Macaca mulatta: one gene and its partners. The protein of the gene in region 4 binds, or shares a complex with, the protein of the main gene of each other region. Links are inferred from orthologs where the notes say so. Each region holds a gene or a part of one and is shown on either strand. Other genes may lie near its edges.

Region 1 (3,208 bases), on a different chromosome or scaffold from region 4:
GGAATTGGATGTTAGATTTTGAGGTGCTTTTTAAGATCTATAAATTCTGAACCCAGCACAAATGAAAGTAGAAAAGCCAATATTAGGAGAAGATTGAGTGCCTGTGTCTTATGTATTTTTATAACCGAAGTATTGCCATGCTTGGGCTAATGATGCTTAATAAATGTTTGTCAAGCTGTACTGCTGAAGGGATACCAGGTGTAACTAGATTTTTCCCTTTAAGCTGACAATGGCACCATGCATCTTTGGGACTGGAGAACTGGCTACAATTTTCAGAGAGTTCATGCAGCTGTGCAACCTGGCTCTTTGGACAGTGAATCGGGAATATTTGCTTGTGCTTTTGATCAGTCTGAAAGTCGATTACTAACAGCTGAAGCTGATAAAACCATTAAAGTATACAGAGAGGATGACACAGCCGTAAGTTCTCTGTTTCACATTTGTTAAGTAAAGCAGCTATACCAATTGGGCACTGTGTTCTCATTTAATTTTATCAGAAGGAAAAATAATCTTTATAGTATTTAAGATATTTGTTTTCTTGAATAGTGTCTATTTATAGATTTCTATATTATTTCACTGATGCCAGTGAATTCATGGATGGTTTTAATTTTATCCCAGCTTTCTTTGTTATAGTTGCTGGGAAATGTTGCACCAAGAATAACAGCAAATAAATAGATTGCTATGCAAATTCATTTGAGAATCATAAGCTTTGGTATTAGTAGATCCAAATAGAAATGTTATTTTAGATTAAAAACTGCAAACTAAACATAATGAATCCATCCATCTGTTATTAGACTTAGATAATGCCAGAAGTTTATCAACTCTTCCTAAAATTGTCAAAGAACTACTAAGTATATAATGCCAATGAATAATGTTAGAGGAGATACCTTATTTCTGTTAGAAAGGAAGCCTGTTAGACATGAAGCAAACTAATAATACTTTATTTTAACTTGCTTTTCTACTTTTAGACAGAAGAAACTCATCCAGTCAGCTGGAAACCAGAAATTATCAAGAGAAAGAGATTTTAATGAATGTGGAATTTTCTTTTTTTTTTTTTTTTAAAAAAAAAAAAAAGCTTGGCGTTGATGAGGATACCCAGTCATTTTGTGCTCTGGCTGGGAATATAAAGGAGAAATTCACTTGCTTCAATCATTGCTGCTTCATATTTTACAATAAACTGTCCCCTGTCCCCTACCCTTGTGTTTTTATTTCTAAAACAATTTGTGATACTAGGAAGATGCAGATATCAAGTAAATGCAGGTTTATTGACTGTAACTATTCTAGATGTAATATTTTGACAGTCTTATTAGAACAACCCCCTTTTTTAAAAAAATGTATGAAACCGATTATTATAATAGGACATTTGAGGGAGCAGTAGGTTTTTTTTTTTAATCCTTTAAAAATTAATATCTGTGACTAATAATTTGAGATTAAAAGATTTAAAGTCTTAACTTATATATGTTTATTCCAAAAACGGTTTTTGAGTGTATGTTCTACAAAGTTCTGCACTAGATACCGTTCAGGAAATAGACAAGTAAGATGTGTCTATCCTCTAAGACTTCCAGTTTGGTAGCTTAGTATAGAAATTCTGTAATGGAGGTGCAGGTGAAATGCTGGGGGAACAGAAGTGGGGATGAGATCATTTATTTTTCCCAGGAAGGATTGTGGAAGACTTCATAGAGTAAGTGGCATTGGAGATGACTTTGAGGTGAAGGAGGACAAAGAAGGAAAAGAGATAAGGCATGAAGCGATGAAACCAGGCAGAAGAAAGTGTGCGGTGTGTCCTGGGACAAAGAATTTTCTGCTACTGTTGAATAATGGAGAGTAAAGCTGGCTTGTTGTGAGGAAAGCTCATATAAATTTGGATTTTATTCCACAACTAGTAAGATACCAATACTGCCATTGAAACTTGGGGAAAATAACTGGAGATACCAGTGCAGCTGTTTAAAACTGTAGCAAGGGCTGCAATCTTGTAGAGATTTTAAAGAGAAGTTTTAAAGTTTCTAATGCCTCTTTTTGATAAATACAAGTTTTATAAATCTTGCCCTGGGATCCTGATTCCCCTTTAGTCAAGAAGATTTGTCAGACTTCACCTTCTATAATGAGAAAACACAGTTATAAGAACAGTCAGTTTTTATAATTTTCCAAATTAAAAAATTGCACTATGATTTTGAATAAGCATTTCCAATTATATTACCCATCTTGCATGCTATAGGTGGGAGTATAATTGGCACAACCTTTAGGAATGTAGTTTTCTGGGGTTTATTGAAACTGTTTGAACCTTTTGGCCTACTAAGTTCATTTCTAGGGAACTGCCTAATGGGAATAATCTGACAAGTGTACACAAGCAAATTCATTGCACCTTTGTTCTTTAATACTTAAAACTCAAATGTCCTGTCAATAAGGGATGGTTTAATAGATGGTTCCTTTATGCAATTTGTTTCTAAGTATTCATTAAGTGAGTGAGGAATGTCTGGATTATTAGGGCAAAATTTCCAAACTTTACTCTTAGTTAAAAAAAGTTGTGCAAGCATTTTTTGTGAACAACTTAATGCTCCAAAATATAACACCACATTACTAACAGTGGCTTTGTTAGGAAGCAGAATTATGGAAGAACTTTCACGACTGGCTTTACATATTTCTATGTTTTAATTTTCTATAAGCATGTATTTCATAAACTTAAATAAAGAAAAAAGAACGCTGCACTTGCATTCCTGAGAGATTCTGATATGCCTTCTAACAACAAAAATCAGAGGTAGATGCTGTTAAAGGCCAAGAAGAAATGACTAGTACAAGGAGATGAGAAAGCCCCTACCAATCTTTTTAGCAGAGCTTCAACTATTGTGTTCAAGTTAGGTACACATATCAAATTCTGAAAAGCATTTAAAAAAATCTGTTTCCCTGCTCCATGCTGGCCTATATTACAGTGTTTCTTGAAACTTCTGTTGCATTAAGTTCATCTACCATAATGTGTTCATGGACCCTATGAAAGGTGCAGAATTTCATGCATGTGCCCTTTTACTTACCTGACAGACCCCCCACCAGGGTTAAGCCCAAATCTCTTCCACTGCCCATTGCATATGGCTTAAGTGTAGTCAAGCTATAAAGTGTTACCAAAGAAAGGCAGCTCCACAGACTGGACTCATTCTTGGTCTGTAACCACATATCTCAAGGGAGCCATCAACAATGACCAAATACACATCTCCATAGT
Region 2 (2,127 bases), on a different chromosome or scaffold from region 4:
CTTGAACCCAGGAGTTCAAAACCAGTCTGGGCAACATGGCAAAATCTCACCTCTACAAAAAATACAAAAATTAGCTGGGTGTGATGGCATACACCTGTGATCCCAGCTACTTGGGAGGCTTTGGTGGGAGAATCACCTGACCCTGGGAGGTTGGGGGTGCAGTGAGCTGTGATCATGCCACCGCACTCCAGCCTAGGCAACAGAGCAAGACCATGTCTCCAAAAAAAAAAAAAAAAGAAAAAAACACGATGACCCTACACTATAGATATTGGGTCCCCCTATCTTCCAAACTAGAAGATAAGCTCTATGTAAGGAAACAATTACTCTAGTGCACAGCAGAGCTCAGCAACTGCAACAGCACATTACAGAACAAGCCTTTAAAATGTGGAGTGAGCACCCTTGCTCCTACTCCTACCTTACCATTCTTTTCATGATACTCTGACATCTCTTCTTAAAGAAAAAAGGTTACTGTTGTCAAGGAAAACACCACAAATAAACAAGCAGTTTAGTTTTATTTTCTCTGTGCATTTGCAAAATACTCAGGACCAACATAAAAAAGAAATACCTCCTGTGGAAAAAATTACATTAAAAAGGGGAATGGGGTGGGGGTGCTGAAAGGGATTAGTACCTTAGCCCCAAGGAGCTACAGCATCTCTGATTGGTCCAAGGAATAGAAAAGATATTGGGAAGATGTAACAGGAGGAAGGAAAAATGTGAATTTACTGAGGGAGAGGGCCTCGAAGTGGACCTCGAGGGGGAACTGGTGGCCGGGGAGTGGGTCTGGGTGGAGGGAGAGGCCCCCGCTGGTAGCCATAGGGTGGGGGTCGTGGAGGGCCAGTGTATCCATGTGGGGGCATCAGTGGAGGAGGTCCACGCATACCATGCGGAGGCATAGGACCTGGGTGACCTGCAAGGAGTAAAAGAAAAGTTAGTAAGGGCACGGGACAAGGGATGTGCCTACAGGAAGCTGTAAGAACATGATAGGTGCAGATGAGGGAGGTGGCTAGAGACGACTTACCCATGGGAGATCCGAATGGAGGCCCTCGGGGGGGCATACCCATTGGAGGAGGTCCAGGATGAGGCATTCCAGGTGGTGGTCGGGGTGGTGGCTGCCCCCCAGAGCCTGGGGGTCCAGCGTGGGGATGTCCTAAGCCATGAGGGCCATGGTGTGCCAGCTGCATCTGAGACATCCCTATGAAAATAAAACAGACACAAGAAGAAAAGAGACAAAGAGAAGGCAAAGAAAATAGAGAAAAGAACAAAATTAGAAAGAAAGTGACATCAGAAAGAGAACTATACAGAAAAAAGGGTACAGAAAATAAGGCTGGCTGGGCACAGTGGCTCATGCCAATAATCCCAGCACTTCGGGAGGCCTAGGTGGATCACTTGAGCCCAGGAGTTCAAGACCAGCCTGGGCAACACAGTGAGAACCCATCTCTATCAAAAAATACTTTTAATTAGCCAGGCATGGTGGTGTGTGCCTGTAGTCCCAGGTACTCAGGAGGCTGAGATGGGAGGATCAAGGCTACAATAAGCCAAAACTACACTACTGCACTCCAGACTGAGTGAAAGAGTGAGACCCCATCACCAAACAAACAAACAAACAAACAAAAAAAGAAGGGTGGTAAAAAGTGCTCCCTATCCTTGACCCTATTCCAACAGCACAAACCAACCAATTACTCAATCAACTCCTTACGCTCGCTTCTCCCATGATTTAGGTACTGTAATAGTAATGCTGAAGTATATAACAAGTGGAGTAATGACTCTGTTGATAGGATTTGAGAAAGTAGCAGAGAACATACTGTCTAAGCCAAGATCTAATTCTAAAGGATGAATGCTTCAGGAGGGTAAGATCATGGGAAGAAAGCATCCCAAGCAGAAAGATTACAGGTGTGTCAAACAGCACAATATATTCCAGGAAATGCCAGTTAACTCAGTAATCAGGAGCAAAATGCAGTTACAGAAATGAGGCGCAGGGGCCAGCTCATAAAGAGCTGTGAATGCTATGGTAATGAGTTTGAGTTTTACTCTGTAGGTAAAAGGGAGCAACAGAGTCATTTTGAGCAAGTGTGTGCACATCTGTGTTTTAAAAAACCTACTCTGTGAAAGTAGATCGAAGTTAGGGAA
Region 3 (3,500 bases), on a different chromosome or scaffold from region 4:
AAGCTTTCCTGCTTCTGTGGGCCTTTCTCTTCCAGGTGGGGAGTCGTACTGGGGGAAGCCCTTCAAAGATGAGTTCCGGCCCAACCTCTCTCACACGGGCCGCGGCATCCTCAGCATGGCCAACTCAGGGCCCAACAGCAACAAATCTCAATTGTGAGTCAGCCGGGCTGGCTGGGGTGGCCTGGGAGGTGAGCCAGCACTCCCTGCAGGTTCTCCCTCTTGGCCCTCCCTGAAGGGCGTGCTGGTTCTGAATCAAACCCAGACAGTGTACGGCACACCTAGGCCAAGCATGTGCACCTGTGTTCAAAAGGGGGCCCCCCAGAGTGAGTCAGCAGGGAGAGCTGCCCGCGCCCGGTTTGTCCTCGAGAGACCAGAAGTCATGAATTACTGGAGGTCCAGAAGGGCCTCTTGATAGGGACCAGGCGTTCGTGTGGGTGCCTGTGGCCAGGCAGTGCTGGGGGAGGTCAGCGTGCTGGAGTAGCGTGTGGGAGGGATTGTGCAGGGCATGGGCTGGACAGGGAGAGGCGCCTGGAGAGACACAGGAGGTCTGGGGAATGCGTGGCCCTGGTGCATGTGGGGAGCAGTGTGCAGGCTGGTGGCAGGCGGCAGGGGATGGGGGGCCAGCAGGGCTGTGGGGGCCAGATGCCTGTATTGTGGAAGAACAGAGGTGCCCTTTCCATCCACCTGCCACCCCAGACAGTGGCCTGACTTTATGTTTTAGTCTTTCAATCATTTTCTTCACGTGGGTCCGGTGACTTTCTGGATAAAGCAACTTCTTTTTTTTTTTTTTTTTTTTTTTTTTGAGACGGAGTCTCGCTCTGTCACCCAGGCTGGAGTGCAGTGGCAGGATCTCGGCTCACTGCAAGCTCCGCCTCCCGGGTTTACGCCATTCTCCTGCCTCAGCCTCCCGAGTAGCTGGGACTACAGGCGCCCGCCATCTCGCCCGGCTAGTTTTTTGTATTTTTTAGTAGAGACGGGGTTTCACCGGGTTAGCCAGGATGGTCTCGATCTCCTGACCTCGTGATCCGCCGGTCTCGGCCTCCCAAAGTGCTGGGATTACAGGCTTGAGCCACCGCGCCCGGCCAGCAACTTCTTAAGGACTTTTTATAATTTGTGATACTTTTGTAAATGGACTTTTTTTCCAACTTTTGGGGATCATTGCTCATGGAGAGAAAAACTCCTGTTCATTTTATATCTAGCCACTTTATCACGTTCTCTTATAATTAAAAAAGGGTTTAAGAGTCTTTTGGGGCCGGGCGCGGTGGCTCAAGCCTGTAATCCCAGCACTTTGGGAGGCCGAGACGGGCGGATCACGAGGTCAGGAGATCGAGACCATCCTGGCTAATATGGTGAAACCCCGTCTCTACTAAAAATACAAAAAACTAGCCGGGCGAGGTGGTGGGCGCCTGTAGTCCCAGCTACTCGGGAGGCTGAGGCAGGAGAATGGCGTAAACCTGGGAGGCGGAGCTTGCAGTGAGCTGAGATCCGGCCACTGCACTCCAGCCTGGGCGACAAAGCGAGATTCCGTCTCAAAAAAAAAAAAAAAAAAAAAAAAAAAGAGTCTTTTGGGTTTTCTAGATAGTCACGCTTATCATCAAAAGCTGGCCGCCTCTCTGCCACCCTGGTGTGCTCATCAGTCCTGTCACCGTCATGTCACCGTGGGCCTGATGGGGAGGAGGAAGTGGGCGTCTTGCTTTGCTCCACAGGAATCGCTGTTTTGCCTTCTCAGAACATTTGTTGTTGGGCTGTTTTTTAGGAGGGTGGCTGAGTTTCTAGAGGTTTCTTTCTTAGCATCTGTTACGATGATTCTGTGCTTTTCTGGTCCTCCTGGGATTTGTGGATGTGGCCACTACAAGGCTAGAGTGCATGGGTGTCTGCGTGGCATTCTGGGGTGAACCCTGGCCTCTCGTGGCTTTGCTGTGGCCTTCCACCGGCTCACTGTCTTGTCACACGTGGTCTCAGTTGTGTGGACTGGCTCCAGCAGGTTTTGCTGTGACAAGTGTGGCCCCTGCATGTTGTGAGCAGAGCTGGCTGTGGCTTTGTAGCCTGGAATGGTTAAAATCACAGGGGTGGCTGGGCGTGGTGGCTCACACCTGTAATCCCAGCACTTGGCGAGGCTGAGGTAGGTGGATTGCCTGAGCCCAGGAATTTGAGATGAGCCTGGGCAACATGGCAAAACCCCATCTCTACAAAAAATTTAAAAAATTAGTGGGGCATGGTGGTGTGTGCCTGTAGTCCCAGCTACTTGGGAGGGTGAGGTGGGGGATCCTCTGAGCCTGGGAAGTCAAAGCTGCAGTGAGCTGGGATCGCACCACTGCACTCTATTCTGGGCAGCAGTGAAACCCTGTCTGGAAAAAAAAAATCACACTGGCATCAGCTGTGGTGAACAGCCGGCCAAAGGCAGCTGGCAGCCGTTCGTGCCACTTTCTTGGGGCTTTCATTTCAGGGTTAATGGGTACTTGTTCCCATGAAGCTGATGTTCTCTTGGCCTCTCTGTGCTCACCTCTTTTTTTTTTCTCCTTCCTAATCACACTTTCTGTTCCTCGATCCCTTAATGGTCTTTGAAGGGTTTGTCTGTTTTCACTTCCTGTGGAATTGTTTTCACTCTCTGTCTTTGCTTCTTCATGGTGCTTTTCCTCCTTCTTCACTTTAATCCATGTCTGCTTCTGGAGCCGCGTCTGTCATTTTGAGGGTGCACGTTCCCTCTTCACTGCTTGCTGGCGGTTGGTAGCTTCCCTTTCAGTTTCCTCTTAGCCAAGGATTGCCTAGGACTGTTGGTTATTTTCAAGTAGGTTGGGTGCATGGTTGGTTCTTGTTTGGCAGGGGCCAGGATGGGGAATCATTTTATTATTTTTTATTTCTCTTTGGCTTAACCAGCCTGTGAAACGGCTGACAGATCAGTTGCCACCTTCTCTTCCTTTTTTTTTTTTTGAGATGGAGTTTCACTCTTGTCGCCCAGGCTGGAGTGCAATGGTGGGATCTTGGCTCGCTGCAACCTCCGCCTCCCGGTTCAAGCAGTTCTCCTGGGATTACAGACGCCCACCACAATGCCCAGCTAATTTTTTGTATTTTTAGTAGAGACAGGGTTTCACCATGTTGGCCAGGCTGGTCTCCAACTCCTGACCTCAGGTGATCCACCCATCTCAGCCTCCCAAAGTGCTGAGATTACAGGCTTGAGCCACCATGCTCAGCCTTCTCTTCTTTTTTTTTTTTTTTTTTTTGAGACGGGGTCTCGCTCTGTCGCCCAGGCTGGAGTGCAGTGGCCGGATCTCAGCTCACTGCAAGCTCCGCCTCCTGGGTTTATGCCATTCTCCTGCCTCAGCCTCCCGAGTAGCTGGGACTACAGGCGCCCGCCACCTCGCCCGGCTAGTTTTTTGTATTTTTAGTAGAGACGGGGTTTCACCATGTTAGCCAGGATGGTCTCGATCTCCTGACCTCGTGATCCGCCCGTCTCGGCTTCCCAAAGTGCTGGGATTACAAGCTTGAGCCACCGCATCTGG
Region 4 (2,677 bases):
TTATTACGTCTACAGTGTTTGACCTCCTTTCTCCACCACCAGCATAATGTAAGCCTCAAGAACATGGGAAAATGCCTGTCACATAGAGCTCAACAAATATTTGTTGAATATAGAAAGGATGAACTCACTTGCCAGCTTGTCATTTCTGGAGACATGGCCACAAATTCCCAAGAAAAAGAAAGGATGCATTTTAAAGAGGCTAAGGAGGACAATGACAGCAAAGACTGCAAAGACTTTTAAAACGGGAGAAAAAGAAAATGGGATACAATAACTACAAACTTCAATACTGAAGGCATTGTGGGCCTGAAAATAACGCTCTTGGGAGAAGTGGCAGTCGGGGAATTAATTATAATGGTAGACAGGGTGGATTTAAGTACCTGATCATGGACACTGGCATGCACTCCCTCCCCCGACCCATTTCCCGCTCGGGTCTTTCAGGAGCCCTCCACCCTAACACAGGAAGTTCACACCAAGAGACTTAATGATTTCTAAACTTTATGGAAAAAGCCAATGACAATCAATTAGCCAAAAATGAGACGCCAAATCCCATCTCATTCCAGCGCCACGCCCTCTTCTCAAACGCTTGCCGGCTCTAGGCCCTCTTCACCAGCACAGTTCTCAGGAGTTCTGCTGGTCTCCCAGTGCTATTCCAAAGGGTTCACATGAAGGCAGGTCAGGCGGGATTCCCCGGGCAAGCACTTCTGTACGCGGAAGTACCAGACGCAGGAGCCATGGAGAGCCGGTCCTTTGGAGGCAGAAATAGTCGAAGGGATTGGCCAACCTGAGGAACACTGGGAGAGGTGCCCCGCACAGTGGTGGTAAGGCAGAGTCTCAGTTCTCCTCGGGCTTGTCGGCTGGCGGTCCACAAGGCTGAAGCATCTTCTCCATCAAATTGAAGCGGACTCGCGCTTTGCTCTCATTCTCTGCAATGGCGAAGTAGTTGAGAAGGTCGAAGTGGCCCATGTAGGAGCAGTACGAGTCGCGGTGTTGGTTCACCAGCCACTCCCACTTGGTGGTGTCGGCGTGGCCCGTGCCGATGTACTTGGACTGCAGGTGCTCCAGCTGGCTGTGGATGGTGTAGCGGTCCGTCATCTCGCCGCTTTCCCCTTAGTTCCCAGGACAGAGGACGCAGACAACAAACCGCCGCTCTGGCGTTTCACGCGGGAGTGAGGCCACCGTGCGGAAGCTCCAGGCCCGCGCCGTCGCAGAAGAATGGCGTCACGACGACTAAGTAGCGTAAGTCTCGCTCATAGGGCTCAAAGGCGGAAGCGGAAGCACATTCTGTCACGGAATTGGAGTTGCCGAGGCGACGCCACAAGTGTGTCGCCCCTGTAGAGAGCCCCGCCCCGTCAGAGAGCGTTGCATGATGGTCCACTTGGTGGCTATGGGAAGCCCTTTTCCAACAGGGAGCCTTGCATGCTGGGACTTGTGGTCTTGGGAGTTCGTGCTCGTAGTCTTCTGGAACTCCTGGTCTCGTTTTGTTGTTTGAGACAGAGACTCGCACTGTTGCCGGGACTGCAGTGTAATGGCGCGATCTCGATTCACTGCAACTTAACGCCTCCTGGGTTCACGCGATTCTCCTGCCTCAGCCTCTCCAGTAGCTGGGATTACAGGCGCACACCACCACGCCAGGCCAATTTTTTTTTTTTTTTTTTTTTTTGTATTTTTAGTAGAGATGGGGTTTCACTGTCTTTGCCTGGCTGATCTCGAACTCCTGATTTCGTGATCCTCCCTCCTCGGTCTTCCAAAATTCTGGGATTACAGGCGTGAGCCACTGCGCCAGGCCCCTGGTCGCGTTTTAAAAGTGATCTGGGGACCTAGTGGAGGGTGATGTCTGGGAGGTGGGGAGCATCCGTGGGTGGCTTGGGGCTGATGGGAAATGGGAAACCCAAGTAGGACTGGACTACAAGCAGCCCCGAAAATAAACTCTCCGTGTTTTCCAAAGCTATCATGGTAGCACAGCCATCCCTTCACAACCAGGGATGGATTACCCAGAAGTCGGCAGGCACAAGTTCTGGTCCCAGCTATGTCTTTTAGGAGTCTGTGGCATAAAAGAGTTATTTCAGCTCTAACCAGGGTGCTTGGTGAGCAAGTACAGCACCAATTCCCACACATTCCGGCTTCCACCTCAAGCTCCTCCTTCCCCTCTAGCCACTTATTTTGATATCCTTCCTCCAAGGCCTCACTGCACCCTACTTGGCCCTTCCATTCAGTGGGTTTTGTGGATTCAACCGACCCGATTGAAAATATTTGGGGAAAAAGTCAGTCTGTACTGAAGTGTAGACTTTTTAAGGTTATTATTCCCTAAACAATACAGTATAACAACTATTTACATAGCATTTACATTGTATTAGGTATTGTTAAATAATCTGGAGACAAACTATACAGGAGAATGTGCATATGTGCAAATACAAGCCATTTTATATCAGGGACTTGAGCATCCTCTAGTTTTGGTATCCATGGGAGTCCTGGAACAAATCACTCACGGATACTGAGGGACAACTGTACTTCTCCGTGTTACCTGTTGTGCCCGTCCCCATTTTCTTGTACAAGCTGTTCCCTCTACGTGGAATGTCTGTTCCCTTGGTGAATACATCTCCCAAAAAGGCAGCTCAAATGCATCTCCTTAGAGTTTTCTCTGGCTGCTCCAGACAGATGTAAACTCTCCTTCCTCTTT
Region 5 (3,500 bases), on a different chromosome or scaffold from region 4:
ACTCACGCAGCCATGGGCTGGCTCAGCCACGCCAGCAAACCGGAGGTCACTCTAAGCATGCCCCAAACAGGCAGATTCAAGGGCCAAAGAGTAACAGGAAGTGATTCTGGCAGGAGGATCTCCAATGAGGCTCCATTAAGCAGTGTTAAAAGGTAAATCTTTGCACAAAATGCCACAGGTCAACAAGGGACAGTGGCCAGCAAGAGTGTGCCCAAGGGAGAATCAGAGCTCTCCTGTGTGCTAATCTCTAAAGTCTAACGATCTTGGTGAGATGGTTTGGATCTGTGTCTCCACCAAATCTCATCGAACTGTAGTCCCCAGTGTTGGAGGAGGGACCTGGTGGGAGATAACTGGCCCACGGGGGCGGAGTTCTCATGAATGGTTTAGCACAACCCGCCCTTGGTACTGTCTAGCGAGTGAGTTCTCACAAGATCTGGTTGTTCAAGTGTGTAGCACCTCCCCACCCACTCTCTCGGTCCTGGCTCCTGCCATGTAAGATGCCTGCTTCCCGTTGGCCTTCCCTGAGGCATTCCCAGAAGCAGATGCCACCATGCTTCATGTACAGCCTCCAGCACTGTGGGTCAATTAAACCTCCTTTCTTTATAAATGACCCAGTCTCAAGTATTTCTTTATAGCAATGCAAGAATGAACTAATCCATGGAGAATCAGCAGTCTAGTGGCCAAAGGTCCTGGACTCTAGAAAACCAGGTTCTGAAATAGCACAACCCGACATGTCTGCCTGTTTTCTCACCTGTCTGAGATAGCACAGCCCGACGTGTCTGCCTGTTTTCTCACCTGTCTGTAATAGCACAACCCGACGTGTCTGCCTGTTTTCTCACCTGTCTGTAATAGCACAGCCCGACGTGTCTGCCTGTTTTCTCACCTGTCTGTAATAGCACAGCCCGACGTGTCTGACTGTTTTCTCACCTGTCTGTAATAGCACAGCCCGACGTGTCTGCCTGTTTTCTCACCTGTCTGTAATAGCACAGCCCGACGTGTCTGCCTGTTTTCTCACCTGTCTGTAATAGCACAGCCCGACGTGTCTGCCTGTTTTCTCACCTGTCTGTAATAGCACAGCCCGACGTGTCTGCCTGTTTTCTCACCTGTCTGTAATAGCACAGCCCGACGTGTCTGACTGTTTTCTCACCTGTCTGTAATAGCACAGCCCGACGTGTCTGACTGTTTTCTCACCTGTCTGTAATAGCACAGCCCGACGTGTCTGCCTGTTTTCTCACCTGGCAAGTAGGGACAGTGTTTGTCTCACCTGTCTCACGAGGCTCTCGGGAGGATCAAATGAGTTAACAGCTAAGAGTCCTAAACAGTATTCTGAAAAGGTCTAGTATGCTGTAGAGAAATACTGCCATCCGCACCCCTCAGGTTTACCACCACCATTTGGTGATGCCCTTGCTGTGCTCCCCTTCTGTGGCCTGACTCACCTGAACTAAAGAGCTGCTCCACTAGGCGCCGCTCCATGGGACTGAGCCCCTCATGCAGGTAGCCCACCCCATTCAGCAGCGTTTCCTTGAGCGTGCTGTCACTCAGCTTCTCCAGGTACGGAATCAGATCCTTCTCGGTGCAGTGCAAGAACCTGTGCGGCACAGGCAATGGCTCAGCTCAGAGTGGTCCAATTCCTGGCAGACATCCTGCCAGCTGTACAGAACCTGGCCCCGAGCCACATGGGCTAACCCCACCCTCATAAAGAGGGCACCCTTGGAGTGGGCCAGCCTCACTTAACCTAACCCCAACCCCCAGACACCAGGCCCCGCCCACCTCTGCCGTTGGATGTCTGCCGCACACGTGGTGAGGATGTCAATGGCAGTGAGGCGGGTCTGCTTGCGAGACGGGACAAAGACAATGACAGGCTTCTTGGGCGAGTGCTTGGTGACAGCATGGTACACAGGCTTGGCCATGGACAGCAGGCGGGTTTGTGTATGGCTGATGTTGAAGCCCTGGCGACCGGGAAGAAGAAAACACACCAAGGTTATCAGACCTGGGCACTCAGGATCTACGTAGGACCCCACAGACGGATGAGGAGAGTGGGTCCTACCTGGATGTGCAGCTCCAAAGGGACGGGACGCACATTGGGGTGGAAGTTGAAGGTGGAGGTGGCGCTGCAGCCCAGCCAGTGGGCCACATCCTTGGCATTGGAAAGCGAAGAGCTGAGTGCCACAATGCGAATGGGCCGCTCAATCTGGGAGGAGATGTAGCGCATTCGGGAGCAGATCACTTCTAAGACAGGCTGGAAAGAGGGAGGGAGGGTCACTGCAGGCCGAGGCTCCCATCCTCTGCCTGGAGGTCCCCTTTGTGAACAGCCCAGCAGCCTCAAAATGACCTCGTTCTTCCTTCTAACTAGGAGCTCTCATGTTTTTGGTTCTACCTCCTCCACAGCAGCCAACCTCCACTAAACAATACTGTTTTCCTAAAGTACTACCAAAAAAGCTGACCTTGTCCCTTTGGAATAGGGCAGCAGGCAGAATCCTCCGGGGAGAAGCCCCGAGCCTCCGTCCTCAGACCCAAATGCAAGGCCCAATGCCAAGGTCACTCGGTCAGTCCCAGTCCCTCATCTGTGCTGCAAGGTCGCGCCATACCCCATTCTCGCCCCCGATAAGGTGGACCTCATCCACCACGAAGAGGTTGATGTTCTGCACGTTCTTGCGCTGCTTCCACCGCCGGGAAAGTATGTCCCACTTCTCGGGGGTGCTGATGATAATGTTCCCTTTGCCTAGCAGCTTCAGGTCTGTGCTGGTCTCTCCCGTCAGGAGTACCACCTTCTTGTTGAGCCTGTCCTGGAACTTCTCATACCAGTCCATGTATACCTGGCAGGCAGAGGAGGGAGGCCGAACAACATGAGGTCATACCAGGCATCTTTCACTTACCTGAGGAAAACCTGAGATGCCAAACAGAGACCTGCTGATCTCAAGCTACGTTCTAATCCCACAGCAGCCTTTATGTGATGGGGCAGCTTTTCTTTCTTTTTTTTTTTTTTTGAGATGAAGTCTCACTCTCGTTGCCCAGGCTGGAGTGCAGTGGTGCAATCTTGGCTCACTGCAACCTCCGCCTCCCGGGTTCAAGCAATTCTCCTGCCTCAGCCTCCCGAGTAGCTGGGATTACAGGCGCGTGCCAGCACACCCAGCTAGTTTTTGTATTTTTAGTAGAGACGGGGTTTCACCATGTTGGCCAGGCTGGTCTCGAACTCCTGATCTCAGGAGATCTGCCCGCCTCGGCCTCCCAAAGTGCTGGGATTACAGGCGTGAGCCACCGCGCCTCGCTGGGGCGGCTTTTCTTTAATACACAAACTGAAGAAATGACCCTGCAAATTTCCGGCCTAAAAAAGCCTTCATATGGAATCACAGATGAAATGCTTCTGGGCAAATTCACGTGATACAGCGCCATGTCATACCTGCTCTGCCAGGGCCTCCATGGGGGTGATGTACACACAGCGCCCCTCCGAGCTCTGCAGCAGCATCCGCAGGATGGCAAACTCTGCACAAATGGTCTTC
Region 6 (3,548 bases), on a different chromosome or scaffold from region 4:
AACGGAAGTAAGCAGAGCTGCCAGGCTCACCAGGAGAGCATGGGGACTAGGAGGAAGGGTGTGGCATGGCTCAGTCTGGCCCCCTTGATAACCAGCCCAGCCCCTGCTCACATCACAGCTGTCTGAAGAACAGTGAGGCGGGGTGCCTAGAACTCCCGTGGTGGTCTTCGGCGGAGAGGACGATGTCCTCCTGCTTGCCTGAAGGAAGGTCTCCCATGAAAGCACTGCTGAACTGTGTTGACAGACCCACGACCCTTTTTTTAAACTGTTAAGGGGAAGTTCAGTGTTGGAGCGACACTCGATGTAGTCTACACCTGGACATGTGGGCCCCTTAAGCCTTCCCCCATCCTATTCCTGAATAAAACCAGGATAATGGAAGAGTTGTCTTTTCTGACAGTTTTAATAAGCACTTCCCTACATCTGAGTACGCACACTGTGGGCGGCACTATTCTAAGATGTACCAACTCATAGTGAGACAGAAATGACAAACGATCCACAGGTCCCAGTAGTAAAACATTTACTAGAGAGCAAGCAGAAAGGAATGCACATCTTAAAGAAACCTTCACAAAGTCACAAAAGTCAAAGTTTGTATATTTCTTTTCCTTTTATAAACAACATAGAACAAAAATCATCAAAATCATTTCAGCAAAAGACTTTTCTATCATTGGGGCAAGTTAAAAAAAATACAATGAAATAGAAGAAGAAGACACTTTAAAAGCTCTTGTTGGGTTTTTTGTTTAATTTTAAATTTAGCAACACCATCTCAGACCTGGAGCAATCCTAGAACAGTTACCAGGATCACCTTTTCCCTTCAATCCTTGTGGCTTCTGGGAATCTTCAGAGCCTGGGTCTGGAAGGTGTTTCCTACATGTCTCAGGGCTGGACGCAAACATGGCTGGGGACCTGAGCATCAACTCCCATTTAGAATCAGACATCTCCCTTCCCTGCAAATGTCTACAACTACCAAATTGCTCCCCAACAGTTAGTTCAATGGATTGAGTTTGCAGAAGCCAACTCCTAAAAAGGGGACTGCCTGGCCATACAACTAAGAAAAAGAAGTCGATTTATAGATGTTTATAAGGTGACACCTTAGTAAAAAATATAAGCTACGTATAATATAAACCTAGAGTGAGTTTTGTGCCCTAGAAGGCCCTTTATCCCAAGATAACCTCAACTTACCCTCATGACAACTCACCTAGAGGCAAAGGAAGCTTCCCAGCTCTACTTCCAAGGACCAAAGCAGCTTCCCAAGAAAACATCCGAAAATTCCTTCTGATGAAGGGGTAATGTCTCCAAGCTCCAGCTCTCCACTAAGGGCAGGGGGTCCTTACACTTTGGACCCCAACCCAGCCCTGAGACACCTAGTTACCGAAATCTTTCTAAAAATTAAGGACAACTGATTTCACACTTCAGCACATCCCCTCTAACTGTCCCATCGACTTTTCTTGCGTTTAGGCGGCTCTGGGACAGCAAAGCCATCAGCTGTCTTATCTGTCTTGCTGTCCACCTTGTCCATCTTGCTGCTGTCCACTTTGGGTTCCATCTTGGGCTCCATCTTGCTCTCACGATTACAAGCTTCTTTCCTGCTTTCCCCATTCCGACCGTCATTTGCACCCCGGTTCTCCCCATGCCGGCCTGCGCTTCCTCCATGTCTGTTCTCTCCATGCCGATGGCCATCAGTGTGACGGCTGCTGCTTTCTGGGTGGCGGTATCCATCTCCATGGCGACCACCATCTCCATGACGTGGGCCATCGCTATGCCGATTGCCAGTCTCTCCGTGACTGTGACGGCTGCTGCCCCGGTTCTCATATCTCTCTCTTTTCCCGTTGCCGCCCCCAGTCCCTTCTCGGCTGTTATTCCCTGAAGCTGTGTTGTTGACTCCCTGGGCTCCAGCAGATGGGTAGGTCACAGGGGCACCACTGATGTTGCCAGTATTGCCAAAGCCTGGAATGCCCTTGGTGGCACTGGCAACAGGGCTGTCAGGACTGTTATGGCCCTGTTGTGCTGAGTTAGTTGGAACAGAATTCAAGCTCCCTGCGCTAGTCCACCCACTTGCCCCAGCAGCAGAGCTTCCAGCCTTCTGATTACTTAAACTGGCTGCAACAAAGTGACTCTTGTACTGTGACTGAAAGAGAAAGAGACATCAGGAGTAGGTAAGATAGCAAATTCAAGAAACCTGAATATACAACTTGGCAAATGATGAGGTTTACAGAAACACTATGCTATCTTGGCACTGTGACTTTAGTGTCCCGCTGGCCCCACAGTATGGTCCCTTTTTTTCTTGTGCTATAAAGGAAAACTTGTGGATCTCTGTGGAGAGATGGACCCCCAGTGTTCTGAAATGTACTTTTATAGCCTGATTGGCTACAATAAAGCATCTGTGTATTTAGCACATTTATCTGTTATTTACCATTCAAAACCAAAAAGTTCTGAAAACTTAAAAAAAATTTTTACGCTGAAATTTAAGTTTGACAGCAAAACCTGCCTTGAACTCATTCTATCGATTCACCTTAGTGTGACTATCAGTACATTTTGCTTCAGAAGTGAGTTGGAGGTGGGCGCCTGGGAGGTGGGCAATACTGCAGGCTGTTGGGAAGGGAGGGAACACACACCCTGCTGCAGGACAACAATCCCAGGCCCTGAGTGTGACTCAAGTAGACCAGCACAAGGGGTTCTCTAGATCAATTTGCATGTCCAAGTAAGCTACTGTTAGGTTTATATTCAAAATCCAAGCAGCGTGAAGACCCTAAATCTAGCATCAAGCCTGTAAGCCCAGCTACAACCAGGAAAACTAAGCCCCTCTTGTCATTGCCCAAGAGTTACTGCTGAAAGTGCTTTTAATGAAATGCTTATTTCAGACCTGGAAAGCTGCTTTCATTGCCGTTAGTCGATCTCCCATAGCTCCTGTGGAAGGCTTGTAGGCCTCATAATTGCTCATTACATTGTTATTTCCTCGGTCCTAAAAAAAATAAACACAACTATGAGGATGAAAAAATAAGCAGGAAAGCTCACTGCCATAGACTAGCCCTCATTATAATGAAAACCCTTGAAGTGGGAGCTGCGAAGGAACTGGATACTTTTAGAAGGCTACTTCTGCTTTGTGAGAAAAGACAGTGACAATCATTTAAAAATGCTTATGCCCTCAACCCAGAAATTCTACTTCTTGGAATTAACCCTATTAAACAGAAATGCAATCAGATTATGCCCAAAGTTGATCATATATTATTTACATACACACATCCAATTAAGTAAGTAAAAATTATGTTAAAGATGAAAAGGCTCTGAATAGCATATTGTGTGACTGCTAAGGCCCTGAATCAAGACCATGAAGGGTCTGAATTTCAGCTTAAATGCTTGTCAGTGTAACTTTAGGTGTCTCAATGTTGTTATCTGTACTAACTTCCATTTGGTGGTTGTGAGGATTAACTGAGCTAAAATATCGGATTGCTTGGAATGGTCCTGGCACATATAAAGTGCTCAATAAATATTAGCTATTATTATGCATAATCATTATTATAATAATGTGGGAACAGAGTATGTAATTATCA
Region 7 (3,500 bases), on a different chromosome or scaffold from region 4:
ATCAAATTTCATCAAAACCATCAAGTTTAAGAGTAAGCAGAAACACAAACTAACAATATATTAAAGGGAGAGCTACACATTTGCATTTCTGACTTTTCAGAATATAAACTGCACACATGAAGATTCTCTCAGGTCATCTGATCAGAAACCAGTATAAAGCACTAAGCCTTCCATTAGAGACCAACACTGATAAAATATTCCATTTACAGTACAAACTCAAGCAAACCTAAGATCCTTAAATTGTGGATATATTTCAGGGTAATAACAAAAGATCTAACCAAATGAAAACTTTTTGCTAATTTCCACTTAGTATCAAGATAGCAAACCAGCCCACGAATGAAGCACACAGTATATCCTGATATCCTTAAGCAACCAAATTGGACTAATATTAAGTTGTCCATGAACTAAACAGATATATAAAATGTCAAGGGGTCCAGCTGAAACAGAGACCTCTTTTTTCCCTAAAAGAGGAGAATTTCACTCCCTGGGTAAAGAACAAGCTGGTCTACCCTGCCAGGACCAGTCTTCTCAGAGTTTTCTACAGACAGGATTTACCCGATAAGTCTGCACTGGGGAGAAAAATGCACATCACAGCCTCTATCATTCTGTTTCTTAACCATTCACAAATAAGATTCCTTTACTACTACCAATGTTCTTTACAATATAATTACTCAGGGTTCATATGGATTTTTGGGTTTTTTGACTAATTCATCAAGCTTTATCATGAATTCAAAACAAAACATTGACCTTTCGGACAACATGATTTCTAAAAGTGGTTTCATATTTTAAGTGTCTGTTCTTAAGTTCTGGATACAGAGACCTATAGTCCAATTTATAGTAGTAAATCACTAACACTAGATACTTACTTTGTCCCAGACACTGTGCTAAGAGTTTTACTTACACTGGCTTAATTATCATAACAACCTTACACAGTAGGTACTACTATTATCCACAATTTACAGATAAAGAAACTGAGGTTTAGAGATATTAAGCATCTTGCCATATGATCCGTTTGACACAATGTTTGTGCTCCAAACTCCACTCTGCAAATTACAGTCCCCAGTTTATTCCTAAGAAAATAGGAAGCTTTTCTGGACCTGTTAAAATGAGATTGTAGAATTAAGAGGCTATAAAAGCAGAAGCTACTTGGGAAATCTGGTATCTGTAAGTCCATCCGGGATGGGTTATAGCCAGTTTGCCTTCAGAAAGAAAGACCTCCAAAGGTCCTTTTAACTAAGATTTACTACACTTCTAAGAGCTACATCCTTCTTCTCGGCTTATCTGGGACATATATAAAACTGAGAGAGAAGAGTCACACAAAAAGAAGGACATGGCTCCTGAAAATCCTGACCTTCTTTCCAGGCTGACTCCTTCGAGGCGGGGACAGATCAGAATCAGAAGATTTGGTCCTCTGTCTCCTCCTTGGTGGAGAGAGGTCAGAATCAGAGCTCCGGTGTCTAGGTCTATTCCGTGGAGGTGATAGATCTGAATCGGAATCCTGGTGCCCTGGACTTTGTTTATGCCGTGGAGAAGAAAGGTCTGAATCAGTTGTTTTCTGGCAGTCACCTGGATAGGAGCAAAGAATCTGTGTGACTCTGATGTCCCCTGGGTGAAGAACTTACATGAAATCTCCTATGGCTGGGAGAAGAACCTAGAAATTAAAGAATTCCTTCTATTTTATTTTATTTTATTTTTTGAGACAGAGTCTCAGGCTGGAGTGCAGTGGCGTGATCTCAGCTCACTGCAATCTCCGCCTCCTGGGTTCAAGCAATTCTTGTGCCTCTGCCTCCCAAGCAGCTGGAATTACAGGTGTGTGCCACCACGCCCAGCTAATTTTTGTGTTTTTAGTAGAGATGGGGTTTCGCCAATGTTGGCCAGGCTGGTCTTGAACTCCTGACCTGAGGTGATTCGCCTGCCTCGGCCTCCAAAGTGCTAGGATTACAGGCTTGAGCCACCATGCCTGGCCAAAGAGTTCTTTAATCCCCTTGGAAGAATCTAAGAAAATAACTTACCAAGCTAATGTACAATATTTATTTAGTTTTTCTATGAAGAATTATCATTAACCTAAACATAACTATGGATGACATAGGAGAAGAGCAAAGTCAGAAACAACTTTTAAGACCAATAGGTAGAAGATGGCATTCTATTCCCAAGTGACCACTGACTGTAACTGGTGTGTAAGATCTCCACACACTCCTCTATGTCAGTAACCCCACTCATGGAAAGACAGCTCTCCATAGTGTGGCAAAAGTCAGAAATACCTAGAATTATATTCTGATATCCTCGGACTAAAGGATAACAAAGTGCTTTAATTTAAAATTAAAATAGTTCCTGGGAACAAAAGAGGGAATAAAAAATTTAACTGCACAGGCCTAAATTCTAGTGACTGTATAAGCATCACAAGTCACCTCCCAAAGAGCATTCTGCAATATGTATCGACAGTCTTTAAAACGGCCACATCTTCTGACCCAGTACATCAACTTCTCAGCTTTCTGAGAAACCTATATAGAAGTAGTTGAATTTCCAGGAAATCTATCTAGAAGTAGATAAGGAAATAATCCAAAATGGGGACAACAGTTTATGTACAAGGATGTTCATTATAGAATTACAGAAGCAAAAACTTAGAAATAACCAAAAATATTCTTTATTAGGAAAATGGTTAAATTTATGTAATGAAACACTATTAAAAATACTAACATAAAGATGTTTTTATGGCCTGAGGAAGACTGTTAAGAAAGGAGAGCAGGCAAGATTGCACATGCAATACAAATGTTCTACATAGCCAGAACTCAACTATATAAAAAAGGCAAACCAAAAAAGACTAAGATGGTCCTGGCTACAACACTAATTGCCTCTGAATGACAGAATTTTGTGTCACATTTTATCTTTATACACTTCTGTACATTCTAAAGCTTCTGCAACAAATAAATTGTACTTTTCTATGGGGTGGGGCGAGTACGTAAAAAGATACATGAAAACCTTCCTCCTGCCACCATAATCCTTTAACTCTCCCAAACCCAGCCTCTCACTTTTCAAAACTTTCCCAAAGAAACTCCATTCTCATACCTAATAAAACAAGTAAAGGGCCAAAAGAAAGCTCCCAGGGATACATATGTCCCTCTCATGGACAGTCATATGCTCACCTTTGGAATCAAACTGCTTCTTGTCTCCAAAATGGGATTTTGTTTGCTTTTTTCGTGGAGGAGAGAGGTCAGGGTCATACTCATATTTGCTGTTCTTTGGGAGTGACGAATGGGAGGCTCCTGACTCCTTCCAAGGTGGAGAAGTCTTGCTAGAGGCTCTTTCTGGGGCTTTACCACTTTTGGTTCTGGGTAGGGAATGAGTGACAGTAGGAGCCAAATCAGGGGAGTCATGATGGGCCCTTCTGAGTTGCTGTGTGTCTGAAGAGCCAAGAGTCCTCCTAGATGTGTCAGGGGAGTTGTTATGGACCCTTCTGGTGGTAGAGATATCTGAGGAATCACGACGGGCTCGCCTAGGAG

The links.
Region 1: SF3B5 (region 4) and PLRG1 share a complex: the UniProt entries of both Homo sapiens proteins name them as parts of the minor spliceosome. The link is inferred for Macaca mulatta from reciprocal best matches to the Homo sapiens genes SF3B5 and PLRG1.
Region 2: SF3B5 (region 4) and SF3B4 share a complex: the UniProt entries of both Homo sapiens proteins name them as parts of the SF3B subcomplex of the 17S U2 SnRNP complex. The link is inferred for Macaca mulatta from reciprocal best matches to the Homo sapiens genes SF3B5 and SF3B4.
Region 3: SF3B5 (region 4) and PPIL2 share a complex: the UniProt entries of both Homo sapiens proteins name them as parts of the minor spliceosome. The link is inferred for Macaca mulatta from reciprocal best matches to the Homo sapiens genes SF3B5 and PPIL2.
Region 5: SF3B5 (region 4) and SNRNP200 share a complex: the UniProt entries of both Homo sapiens proteins name them as parts of the minor spliceosome. The link is inferred for Macaca mulatta from reciprocal best matches to the Homo sapiens genes SF3B5 and SNRNP200.
Region 6: the proteins of SF3B5 (region 4) and DDX42 are in contact, whole or in part, in a cryo-EM structure (PDB 7EVN), measured with the Homo sapiens proteins. The link is inferred for Macaca mulatta from reciprocal best matches to the Homo sapiens genes SF3B5 and DDX42. Residues at the interface, in NP_112577.1 of Homo sapiens: Arg4, Tyr5, Thr6, Ser9, Gln10, His13, Leu14; in NP_031398.2 of Homo sapiens: Asp156, Ala159, Tyr160, Phe161, Tyr163, Met164, Asn167.
Region 7: SF3B5 (region 4) and BUD13 share a complex: the UniProt entries of both Homo sapiens proteins name them as parts of the minor spliceosome. The link is inferred for Macaca mulatta from reciprocal best matches to the Homo sapiens genes SF3B5 and BUD13.

What each region holds. Positions count from the first base shown.
Region 1 is NC_133410.1:163,129,965-163,133,172, reverse strand, and holds the end of PLRG1 (pleiotropic regulator 1), read left to right. Parts: intron 1-223; coding exon 224-417; intron 418-965; coding exon 966-1,025; 3' UTR 1,026-2,708; downstream 2,709-3,208. UniProt on the Homo sapiens protein: Involved in pre-mRNA splicing as component of the spliceosome. Component of the PRP19-CDC5L complex that forms an integral part of the spliceosome and is required for activating pre-mRNA splicing.
Region 2 is NC_133406.1:117,231,368-117,233,494, reverse strand, and holds the end of SF3B4 (splicing factor 3B subunit 4), read right to left. Parts: intron 1,193-2,127; coding exon 1,019-1,192; intron 908-1,018; coding exon 720-907; 3' UTR 501-719; downstream 1-500. UniProt on the Homo sapiens protein: Component of the 17S U2 SnRNP complex of the spliceosome, a large ribonucleoprotein complex that removes introns from transcribed pre-mRNAs.
Region 3 is NC_133415.1:31,306,111-31,309,610, reverse strand, and holds part of PPIL2 (RING-type E3 ubiquitin-protein ligase PPIL2), read left to right. Parts: intron 1-35; coding exon 36-153; intron 154-3,500. UniProt on the Homo sapiens protein: Has a ubiquitin-protein ligase activity acting as an E3 ubiquitin protein ligase or as an ubiquitin-ubiquitin ligase promoting elongation of ubiquitin chains on substrates.
Region 4 is NC_133409.1:49,348,244-49,350,920, forward strand, and holds SF3B5 (splicing factor 3B subunit 5), read right to left. Parts: upstream 1,194-2,677; 5' UTR 1,093-1,193; coding exon 832-1,092; 3' UTR 501-831; downstream 1-500. UniProt on the Homo sapiens protein: Component of the 17S U2 SnRNP complex of the spliceosome, a large ribonucleoprotein complex that removes introns from transcribed pre-mRNAs.
Region 5 is NC_133418.1:5,017,829-5,021,328, forward strand, and holds part of SNRNP200 (U5 small nuclear ribonucleoprotein 200 kDa helicase), read right to left. Parts: coding exon 3,401-3,500; intron 2,817-3,400; coding exon 2,589-2,816; intron 2,240-2,588; coding exon 2,048-2,239; intron 1,950-2,047; coding exon 1,771-1,949; intron 1,589-1,770; coding exon 1,437-1,588; intron 1-1,436. UniProt on the Homo sapiens protein: Catalyzes the ATP-dependent unwinding of U4/U6 RNA duplices, an essential step in the assembly of a catalytically active spliceosome. Plays a role in pre-mRNA splicing as a core component of precatalytic, catalytic and postcatalytic spliceosomal complexes.
Region 6 is NC_133421.1:73,613,126-73,616,673, reverse strand, and holds the end of DDX42 (ATP-dependent RNA helicase DDX42), read right to left. Parts: intron 2,960-3,548; coding exon 2,861-2,959; intron 2,126-2,860; coding exon 1,424-2,125; 3' UTR 501-1,423; downstream 1-500. Other genes in the region: pre-rRNA 2'-O-ribose RNA methyltransferase FTSJ3, read left to right, coding at 1-11. UniProt on the Homo sapiens protein: ATP-dependent RNA helicase that binds to partially double-stranded RNAs (dsRNAs) in order to unwind RNA secondary structures. Unwinding is promoted in the presence of single-strand binding proteins.
Region 7 is NC_133419.1:117,435,031-117,438,530, forward strand, and holds part of BUD13 (BUD13 homolog), read right to left. Parts: coding exon 3,144-3,500; intron 1,567-3,143; coding exon 1,352-1,566; intron 1-1,351. UniProt on the Homo sapiens protein: Involved in pre-mRNA splicing as component of the activated spliceosome. As a component of the minor spliceosome, involved in the splicing of U12-type introns in pre-mRNAs.